Arabidopsis thaliana: one gene and its partner. The protein of the gene in region 1 interacts with the protein of each later gene in a pairwise test. Each region holds a gene or a part of one and is shown on either strand. Other genes may lie near its edges. The genes, in order: RK2 and PUB9.

Region 1 (6,546 bases):
TCAAGTGAGAAGCCAAGACTCGCTAATCAACGATGTGGTAGTATCTAGGAGGGGTTACACATCCAAAGAAAAAAAAAGTGAGTACCTAGAGCTTCCATTGTTGGAGTTGGAAGCTCTTGCCACGGCAACAAACAATTTTTCTAACGACAACAAGCTTGGACAAGGTGGATTCGGAATTGTTTACAAGGTAAAAGTGATTCAAAACATATTGAAAATCTACCACAGCACATGGTTTCATTGTATAATCACATGTGTGGTAATAGGGAAGATTACTTGACGGAAAAGAAATTGCGGTAAAGAGACTATCGAAAATGTCCTCACAAGGGACCGATGAGTTCATGAACGAGGTTAGATTAATTGCAAAGCTTCAGCACATAAACCTTGTCCGGCTTCTAGGTTGTTGCGTCGATAAGGGTGAGAAGATGTTGATCTATGAGTACTTGGAGAATTTAAGCCTTGACTCGCATCTCTTTGGTTAGTGACTCAAACAGCTTCTGTTCTAATAATTGAACATTTTTGTGAAAACGTTAACTTGTTGTTGGTTGTGTTGGATGTGTAGACCAAACACGAAGCTCTAACTTAAATTGGCAAAAGAGATTTGATATTATCAATGGTATTGCTAGAGGACTTCTATATCTTCACCAAGATTCACGGTGTAGGATTATCCATAGAGACTTGAAAGCAAGTAACGTATTGCTTGATAAAAATATGACTCCAAAGATCTCGGATTTCGGTATGGCGAGGATCTTTGGACGGGAGGAGACAGAGGCTAATACAAGGAGGGTGGTCGGAACTTAGTAAGCAATCATTCTTCAACAAAACAAAAAAAGAGCTTTTATCTCAAGTCCAAATATTTTCTTAAAAACCTCATAACATATGAGTTTATATTTTGTTATGCAGCGGCTACATGTCTCCAGAATATGCAATGGACGGGATATTCTCGATGAAGTCGGATGTTTTCAGCTTTGGGGTCTTGCTTCTAGAGATTATAAGTGGAAAAAGAAACAAAGGATTCTACAACTCAAACCGTGATCTTAATCTCCTCGGTTTTGTAAGCTAAAAACCTCTTCAATTCGATATTGTTTTGCATTCATAATCTGATTATAACACTAAAGAAATATTACATCCTTTATGCACAGGTGTGGAGGCATTGGAAGGAAGGAAACGAGCTAGAGATTGTAGATCCGATCAACATCGATTCTTTGTCATCAAAGTTCCCGACACATGAAATCTTAAGATGTATACAAATTGGTCTCTTGTGTGTTCAAGAACGAGCCGAAGACAGACCAGTGATGTCCTCGGTAATGGTGATGCTTGGAAGCGAAACTACCGCTATTCCTCAGCCTAAACGTCCTGGATTTTGCATTGGTAGAAGTCCTCTTGAGGCTGATTCTTCTTCAAGTACACAGCGCGACGATGAATGTACAGTGAACCAAATCACTCTCTCGGTCATTGACGCTCGGTAATTTGTAACTTACGGCCCAATCTGTTTACATGCATATCATTTTATAGGTAAGTCTAAATAGATTTTATTACTACATATATGATTCGATATCTTGCTCTATCTAATTTAATTTAGACAAAAGATTCACCACATGTTTCACATGATTTTGATTTAGAGCGAGAATTATAAAAAAAAAACATTTAGACAAAGACAAAAAAATGCAAGATTTGGAGTTGTCACTCCAAGATTTGAAGTTTGAGACCGAAACTCAATTAAGTGGGAATTCAGTAATGATTAATATTCACTTTTTGTACATACTACTGATAATAGACCAATACTGGAAGCGAACATAGGACTTTATGGCTATTACAACAGAGGACTTTATGAAACAAATCGAATATATACCTTAAACTTTTATGAATTCATCGGTGAAGCATTCTCTTGCATATAACATTTAGTATGTCGCCAGCAACATTGAAATTTTGTCTATTCTCGTACACACACACACAAATGGTTGAGGATATTATTTTTTTGGAGTAAACGAAGAAAAGTCAGTTACTAGGAAATTACAAAACCATAATTATCAATTTAACGACTTTTAAGGTCATTGACTCAATTCTATAGTGACATAGTCTATAGATATTTCAAAAGCGAACAAGAAGACCAAGAAAATGTAGCTGAAAATGAAATATTATCAACAATAGAGAGAAATCGTGTAAATGACGTTCACACATTTCAACACCAAACATGTCGTAATCTCCGAAGATAAAAATTCTCAATTATATGTACATAAAATTTTCATAAGAAGAAAATAAAACAGAACACAAGAAAGTGTCCTAGCTAGAGAGAGAGAGAGAGATGAGAAATGTACCAAACTATCATCATTCTTACTTCATATTATTCATCATAATTCTGTTTCTTGCTTTCTCTGTTTATGCAAGCAACTTTTCAGCCACAGAATCTCTCACTATCTCAAGCAACAAAACCATTATATCTCCTAGTCAAATCTTCGAGCTCGGTTTCTTCAATCCCGACTCAAGTTCACGTTGGTATCTCGGCATATGGTACAAGATAATCCCTATAAGAACCTACGTATGGGTTGCAAACAGAGACAATCCTCTCTCTAGTTCCAACGGAACTCTCAAAATATCCGACAATAACCTCGTCATTTTCGATCAGTCCGATAGGCCTGTTTGGTCGACGAATATAACCGGAGGAGATGTGAGATCACCAGTGGCTGCAGAGCTTCTTGATTACGGTAATTTTGTTCTTAGAGACTCCAAAAATAATAAACCAAGTGGATTTTTGTGGCAGAGTTTCGATTTCCCGACAGATACTTTACTATCGGATATGAAAATGGGATGGGATAACAAAAGCGGAGGATTCAACAGAATCTTGAGATCTTGGAAAACCACAGATGATCCGTCAAGCGGAGATTTCTCGACTAAACTCCGAACCAGCGGGTTCCCGGAGTTTTACATATACAACAAAGAGTCCATAACGTACAGGAGCGGTCCATGGCTCGGAAATCGGTTTAGCAGCGTACCGGGGATGAAACCAGTTGATTACATAGACAACAGTTTCACAGAGAATAATCAACAAGTTGTTTACTCATACCGAGTCAACAAAACCAACATTTACTCGATATTAAGCCTAAGCTCCACGGGACTATTACAACGATTAACTTGGATGGAGGCAGCACAGAGTTGGAAACAGTTATGGTACTCACCAAAGGACCTATGTGATAACTACAAAGAGTGTGGGAATTACGGTTATTGCGATGCGAACACTTCACCTATTTGTAATTGTATCAAAGGGTTTGAGCCAATGAATGAGCAAGCGGCTTTGAGAGATGATTCTGTTGGTTGCGTGAGGAAGACGAAGCTAAGCTGTGACGGTAGAGATGGGTTTGTGCGGTTGAAGAAGATGAGACTGCCAGATACTACAGAGACAAGTGTGGACAAAGGAATTGGGTTGAAAGAATGTGAAGAGAGGTGCCTAAAGGGTTGTAATTGTACGGCGTTTGCTAATACGGATATTCGTAATGGCGGTTCAGGTTGTGTGATTTGGTCCGGAGGGCTGTTCGATATCCGAAATTATGCTAAGGGAGGTCAGGATCTTTACGTTAGAGTAGCTGCTGGTGATCTAGGTTAGTTTTTCTTTGCTCTTTTGGTTTTTATTTTATTGTTTAGTTGACTAATAGGTTCTAAGCCAAGGTCCGTAACATAACGGCTTGATCCACTAGGTCCGACCATATAAAGAGTATATGGTCCACAAAGTATCTTGTTGATGTTTGGTCAATTTTTTTAGTTTATTACTTGAAGATATACAAAATACTAGAATAACTTATATATCAAAAGATTAATATGGCTTAAGCTAGTTCCAATACCAAAAAATATATTAATTATTTTGTTTATGTTATTGAATAATATTTTATCAAAAATACGTAAGTACAACAAAGTATACTTTGGAGTTATTATTATGATTGAAGAAAATATATGCCTCGTCTTTATTGCAGAGGACAAGAGAATCAAAAGTAAAAAAATCATAGGTTCGAGTATTGGAGTGAGCATTTTGCTTCTTTTAAGTTTCATCATCTTCCATTTTTGGAAAAGGAAGCAGAAGCGATCAATAACAATTCAAACACCTATTGGTAAATCAACAGCTTTCATTTCCTTTATTTTTACTTCAATTTTTGATAATTAAATGTCTTAATTGTTTTTTTCTGTGTGTCTAAATGAAACAGTTGATCTTGTGAGAAGCCAAGATTCTCTAATGAACGAATTGGTAAAAGCAAGCAGGAGTTACACATCCAAAGAAAACAAAACCGATTATCTAGAGCTCCCATTGATGGAGTGGAAAGCTTTAGCCATGGCAACAAACAATTTTTCGACGGACAATAAGCTTGGACAAGGTGGTTTTGGTATTGTTTACAAGGTAAACATGACTCATAACTTGTTGAAAATCTATCACTGGCAATGGTTTCATTGAATAATCAAATGTGTGGTAATAGGGAATGTTACTTGATGGAAAAGAAATCGCGGTAAAGAGACTATCGAAAATGTCTTCACAAGGGACCGATGAGTTCATGAACGAGGTTAGATTAATTGCAAAGCTTCAGCACATAAACCTTGTCCGGCTTCTAGGTTGTTGCGTCGATAAGGGTGAGAAGATGTTGATCTATGAGTACTTGGAGAATCTAAGCCTTGACTCGCATCTCTTTGGTTAGTGACTCAAACAGCTTCTGTTCTAATAATTGAACATCTTTGTGAAAACGTTAACTTGTTGTTGGTTGTGTTGGATGTGTAGACCAAACACGAAGCTCTAACTTAAATTGGCAAAAGAGATTTGATATTATCAATGGTATTGCTAGAGGACTTCTATATCTTCACCAAGATTCACGGTGTAGGATTATCCATAGAGACTTGAAAGCAAGTAACGTATTGCTTGATAAAAATATGACTCCAAAGATCTCCGATTTTGGGATGGCGAGGATCTTTGGACGGGAGGAGACAGAGGCTAATACAAGGAGGGTGGTCGGAACTTAGTAAGCAATCATTCTTCAACAAAACAAAAAAAGAGCTTTTATCTCAAGTCCAAATATTTTCTTAAAAACCTCATAACATATGAGTTTATATTTTGTTATGCAGCGGCTACATGTCTCCAGAATATGCAATGGACGGGATATTCTCGATGAAGTCGGATGTTTTCAGCTTTGGGGTCTTGCTTCTAGAGATTATAAGTGGAAAAAGAAACAAAGGATTCTACAACTCAAACCGTGATCTTAATCTCCTTGGTTTTGTAAGCTAAATACCTCTTCAATTCGATATTGTTTTGCATTCATAATCTGATTATAACGCTAAAGAAATATTACATCCTTTATGCACAGGTGTGGAGGCATTGGAAGGAAGGAAAAGAGCTAGAGATTGTAGATCCGATCAACATCGATGCTTTGTCATCAGAATTCCCGACACATGAAATCTTAAGATGTATACAAATTGGTCTCTTGTGTGTTCAAGAACGAGCCGAAGACAGACCAGTGATGTCCTCGGTAATGGTGATGCTTGGAAGCGAAACTACGGCTATTCCTCAGCCTAAACGTCCTGGTTTTTGCGTGGGGAGAAGTTCTCTTGAGGTTGATTCTTCGTCAAGTACACAGCGAGACGATGAATGTACAGTGAACCAAGTCACTCTCTCGGTCATTGACGCTCGGTAATATGTAAGATTGTAAGTTATCGACCCACTCTTTTTATATAAAAATATAGACACAGGGCAGTAAGGTCTCCACACTAGGGGCTGATACTTTGCATCAGTCAGTGATACCTTGTGTAACAAGTTTCCTTTGCCTCCATGGAACGTATACAAAAGTTGTATTCAACTTCGTTGTAAATATAATTAAGATAAAAAGAAAAAACCAAAGAGGGTATAAACCCACAAGGATAGCTACAATTTCCGGAGATCCGGATGAGGAGGAAGCATGATACCAAGCTTGAGAATCCTTACAAAATCCCACTACTGCGATAGCATTATATTTATAGTGAAGAAAAATTGTGATCTAAGATGATACACATGTTCAGTGATCACTGATCAATGACCAATTTAAGTATGTCTGACAAATAGCAAAAGATAATAAGAGAAAAGTCACAAAAGGACGCAAAAGAAGCAGACACACAATGTTTTAAAAGACCAAAAGGAATACCAAATTGTCTGCTTTTGACAAAGAAACAGTCAAATTTCACTTAGGATCTTTGGGGTTAGATGTTGAAAGTTGAACCTTTCTTCTAATCTTCCACAGTTTCTTTAGCTTCACTTGTTTCCTGCAAAACAAATAAACAGAGAATATTACTGAAACTGCTTTGAAATCTCAAAGACTCATCAAATAAGCCTTACTTGATAGGTTTAGGACTCACAGTTTCCTCTTCCACAACACTGAGCAACGCAAATGATCTCGAAACATCGCTTACAATATCTTTCTTTGAACAAGAATTGGAATCAACCGGCCATTGCATTGGTACAACTAAATCACTGCATCATTGTGAAAACATAAAAACATAAATTTCTCATGTTTCAGATTAAATTAACACCACAAAAATTTAACTAAC
Region 2 (4,737 bases), on another chromosome or scaffold:
ATCAATTTTCTCTTGAATTTAACCTTGTACCAAAAAAAAAAATATTTTCTTTCAGAAGATTCAGTTTGTTTTTTTCAAACTTTTGGAAATGACATGTTCAAGATAAGAGTGTTATTATCACACAATCAAAACTTAAAGGAAAAAAAAACAGAAACAAAGATAATAATTTGAGAAAGCAGAGATGTCTAGCAAGCAGAGAAAAAAAACGACAGTTCGAAGATAACGAGGGCATTAGAAAGGGACACGTGGGTTAGAGGGTGGTCCTACGTAAACTGATTTTTTATCAGCAGTCCAGCTTGGCACTTGTGAGATTCTCTTCTGTGTTTGCAGATGAGTGGTGCCCACTTCTCAGAAATAATAGATATTATTCATACACGTGTCTATTTCAAAATGCCACTCAATAATAGTTGGTCTACTAACAACTTCAAATTTGAGAATTGAGTTGACACTATTCTAACCTCAACACTTTGTATCGTTGTATATGAACATCGATCACCCACTCTTATGGATGGTGGTTAAATAAACCGAAGTACAATAGTATTTTTTTTTATAAAAAAAATCCATACAAATTTAAACAAATTCAATAAATGTACTAATAATTTTAGTTTGAAGTTCTAACAATTAACAATGTAGACAAAGTGCCAAGACAAATTCCGTGGCCAATATATATAACTTGGTTTAGTTAAAACATTTGTTGGAATTAAAACATATTTTCAAAATTTCATGTTTTGGTGGAAGAAGTCGTTTTCACCTTTTAAATTTGTTTCAGACATGGAGTGATGTGTCATCTTGTTTAATATTATTGTCTACAGAATGTTACTAAAAGGTGAAAACCAAATCTTGATAAAGAAGTTAATTATAAAACAAAATCTTCCGGTTACATTTTTTTGGTTTTTTTGAATGTTATAGATTTGGTCAACTCTCTTAATTCATCCAATCACGCGTCGAAAGCTATAATAACACTTGGTTGCTTTTTTTTTTTTAATACAATTTTGTTTTTAAAACGTTTAGAACAAAAATAAAAAGAAGAAAAAGAAAGAGTGAAAAACGGCAGGGGTAAAAACGTCAAAGAAGAAATAGAGAGAGAGAGTGAAGAGGAGTACAACAGAATCCACGCGGAAAGACAGCTGTTCCCATGTTGGAATAACTGTGCGGGTCCCACTTTCATTACACTCACTCCTCTCGCACATCTTCTAATTTTCGCCGCCGTTACCGTCTTTGGAATTTTTTTTGGTTTACCACACTAATGTTACATTTTTCGTTAGAGATGATTTTGTTTTTTGATTACAACCTCCTACGACGTTTGAGTTATTGAGATTACTTTTATAAATTTCCTTACTCTGTTTCTTTGGGTCAACAATTCAAACAATGATGGTAATGGAGTGATCAATTGACAAAAAAAAAACACGAATCAAACAATGATCGATTATATAAAGCTGTTATGGTCTAATAACTGAATAATAAAATCATCATAAGTAAGGAACCAAATTCGAATACTCGCAATAAACCAATAATAGTAATTTAGTGGATAAAATAATAGTTATGGGTTCGGTGTCTTAAAGATTTGAGTTTGATCATCGTAATTCGTAAACCTTTGAAACATTTTCTGTTTTTTTCACAAACTTTTGGGAATATTTGTTTTGGCTTGACAAACTCTCCAAATAGCTCTTTCGTCGTTTAAAATCTCTTAGTTACAAAACAATGTATTGAGGTTTCGAACTCCCAAAACCAAACACAAGGGAAAGATGAAAACCATTAGGCCGATCAATTACTATTAAGTTATAACTAGCTAAATTACCAATAACGTGTATGGATTTATACCCAAAAAAATAAGTAAACGTGTATGAGTCTACGAGACAAATCGTGTCGGCTGTATTTTGACACCTTAGTCGCGAGGTAGGTCATACGTGCTGCATTATTAAATTCTTAATTTTGGTCGAATTAATTAGTAAATACTCCTAAATAATGACGTGGCAAATTCGGTGCAGGCCACAATTCTATTATAGTGAAGCACTAGAGTACAACAACAACACTTGTGCCTCTTCTTCTCTCTTCCTCATATTTATTACTCTCTCTTTCACAAACACACAGAAAATAAATAAATAAAATTAATTAATGTGAGAAAATCAATTCAAAAATTTGGACATACGTATCATCTGAGAGAAGAAGGGTTTGGTGAATACCGGCGGGTGGAACCGACGGCGATGGCGAAGACCGGTGTTTTCGATTCGGATCCGACGGCGATTGCTAAAGCCAAGGAACTGAAGCGTGAGATGAAGAAGTTGCTGATTAAGATCGATGACGAAGATGATTTGGGTGTTCAGACGATTGATCAGTTACAGGACGCTTTGTCTGCGTTGAGAGAAGCGACGATGAGGAAGATGGCGAAATCTTCCTCGTTAGAGATGCTCGAGACTGTGTCTTGTCCTGAGGAGTTTCGTTGTCCTCTCTCTAATGAGCTTATGAGGGATCCCGTCGTTTTGGCTTCTGGTCAGGTTTGTGAACGTCGCATTTCGATTCAATTCTTCTTCTTCTAGGGTTTTGAATTTTGCTGTTTCTGTGTTAGGTGACTGAAAATTTTGGATTTTTGGGGGAATTTTGATTGGCTTGAAACTTTTTCATCTGTTTTCTCGACCCGACTGAGAGAATCCGACTCAGGTTTCATAAAGTTCTTGTTTTGTCGGTAGTTTCGGTAATGATTTTCGAAACGATGAAATCTGGAGATTTTATCATGTAAATGAAAAAAGTGATTTTTAGAGGATAATTATGTGTTCCTTAGCTTGTTTAATAAATCTGGAAAGCATATAACTAAAAATTTATATATTTGTGTGTGATTTTGCAGACATACGACAAGTTATTTATCCAGAAATGGTTGAGCTCAGGGAACAGAACATGTCCCAAGACTCAGCAAGTTCTGCCTCACACGGCTTTAACACCTAATCTCTTAATCCGTGAAATGATCTCGAAATGGTGCAAGAAGAACGGGCTTGAGACGAAGAGCCAATATCATCCCAACCTTGTAAATGAAGATGAAACTGTGACAAGATCAGATCGTGAGATTTTCAATTCCTTGCTCTGTAAAGTCTCTTCTTCGAACCTTCAAGATCAAAAATCAGCTGCCAAGGAGCTAAGACTTCTGACCAGGAAAGGCACTGAGTTCCGAGCTCTTTTTGGCGAATCTCCGGATGAGATCACCAGGTTGGTGAATCCCTTGTTACACGGGTCAAACCCAGATGAGAAGCTTCAAGAAGATGTGGTTACAACATTGTTGAACATATCAATACATGATGACAGCAACAAGAAGCTCGTCTGCGAAAATCCTAATGTGATTCCTCTCCTTATCGATGCATTGAGGCGTGGAACAGTCGCCACGAGAAGCAATGCAGCTGCAGCGATCTTCACTCTGTCAGCTCTCGATTCAAACAAAGTACTTATAGGGAAGTCCGGAATCCTGAAACCGCTTATCGATCTCCTAGAAGAAGGGAATCCATTAGCTATCAAAGACGTAGCTGCAGCGATCTTCACTCTTTGTATAGCCCATGAGAACAGGAGTAGAGCTGTGAGAGACGGAGCTGTTAGGGTTTTAGGTAAGAAAATCTCGAATGGGTTGTACGTTGATGAGCTTTTAGCTATATTGGCAATGCTTGTTACTCACTGGAAGGCTGTGGAGGAATTGGGTGAGCTCGGTGGGGTTTCATGGTTGCTGAAGATAACTCGAGAGAGCGAGTGCAAGCGAAACAAAGAGAATGCGATAGTGATACTGCATACTATATGTTTCAGCGACAGGACAAAGTGGAAGGAGATCAAAGAAGAGGAGAATGCTCATGGAACGATAACAAAGCTTTCGCGTGAAGGAACTTCAAGGGCGCAGAGGAAAGCAAACGGGATATTGGACAGACTGAGAAAAGCTATGAATCTCACTCATACAGCCTGAGAAAAGCCTTGAAATCTGCAATGTAAATTACCTAAAATCTTGTTTCTTTTTTTTACTTTATTTGGCTGTAAGAATTTTTGTAAATTATTCATATCTTTAGGATCTGAATGGTTATTGGTTTTCGTATGTGAGATGTAAGTAGAAATCTGTGTGAATAGTTTTTGCGTTTGATGTTTCTGGAGAAATCAATCAATAAAATCAATGTTGGTGGCTTTATTCAGCTGTGAAAGCCTTGGTCAACAAGTAACAGTGTGTAGCTTTTCGTCTGTTTCTGTGTATAAATAAGTAGATTATTAAAAATACATAGAAAGGCTGTCATGTCGTGTTCCTCACATCACTGATAAACCACAAAGCAAATCAATCTAATTCCACTCTCTCTGGAAAAAGAGTTTATTACAGAGTCACGAGTTTTCCATTGATGTGATTTTTTCTCTATGTAATGTAACGTGACGATGTGATTCCTATTGTCGTGTTAGAAAAAAACAGTACTTTTAAGTTTATTTATATATAAATAAATACTCATCAAAGCTTATAAATAAATTTCGACTATCACTGATGAATTATAAGTTTTGTTAGAAAACATAACGGAGTAGTTTTGTAATATATTTCTAAAAAATGTTCTAGACAAGGCAAGAAGCATGTAAGTAATGATAAAAATCACATGTATTTGGTTGGTTGGATTGCTTGGAAGTTAGAATTGAATCACGAAATTGCTAAAACTCGTGATTCGTAATAATTACAGGTCAACATATCGTGAGAAAGTTGAAAAAATGGAATATTTAATAGAGAGGATAGAATATGGA

What was found.
Region 2: the proteins of RK2 (region 1) and PUB9 interact in a two-hybrid assay, tested with the Arabidopsis thaliana proteins (one study listed by BioGRID).

What each region holds. Positions count from the first base shown.
Region 1 is NC_003070.9:24,470,864-24,477,409, forward strand, and holds RK2 (receptor kinase 2), read left to right. Parts: upstream 1-2,009; 5' UTR 2,010-2,302; coding exon 2,303-3,593; intron 3,594-3,962; coding exon 3,963-4,097; intron 4,098-4,190; coding exon 4,191-4,381; intron 4,382-4,457; coding exon 4,458-4,668; coding exon of another isoform or gene 4,669-4,673; exon of another isoform or gene 4,674-4,753; coding exon 4,754-4,991; intron 4,992-5,094; coding exon 5,095-5,245; intron 5,246-5,333; coding exon 5,334-5,660; 3' UTR 5,661-6,024; downstream 6,025-6,546. Other genes in the region: RK1 (receptor kinase 1), read left to right, coding at 1-187, 264-474, 560-797, 901-1,051, 1,140-1,466; AT1G65810 (P-loop containing nucleoside triphosphate hydrolases superfamily protein), read right to left, coding at 6,180-6,261, 6,335-6,469.
Region 2 is NC_003074.8:2,352,680-2,357,416, forward strand, and holds PUB9 (plant U-box 9), read left to right. Parts: upstream 1-1,960; 5' UTR 1,961-2,204; coding exon 2,205-2,495; exon of another isoform or gene 2,496-2,842; coding exon 2,843-3,934; 3' UTR 3,935-4,186; downstream 4,187-4,737. UniProt on the Arabidopsis thaliana protein: Functions as an E3 ubiquitin ligase. May be involved in the abscisic acid-mediated signaling pathway, at least during germination.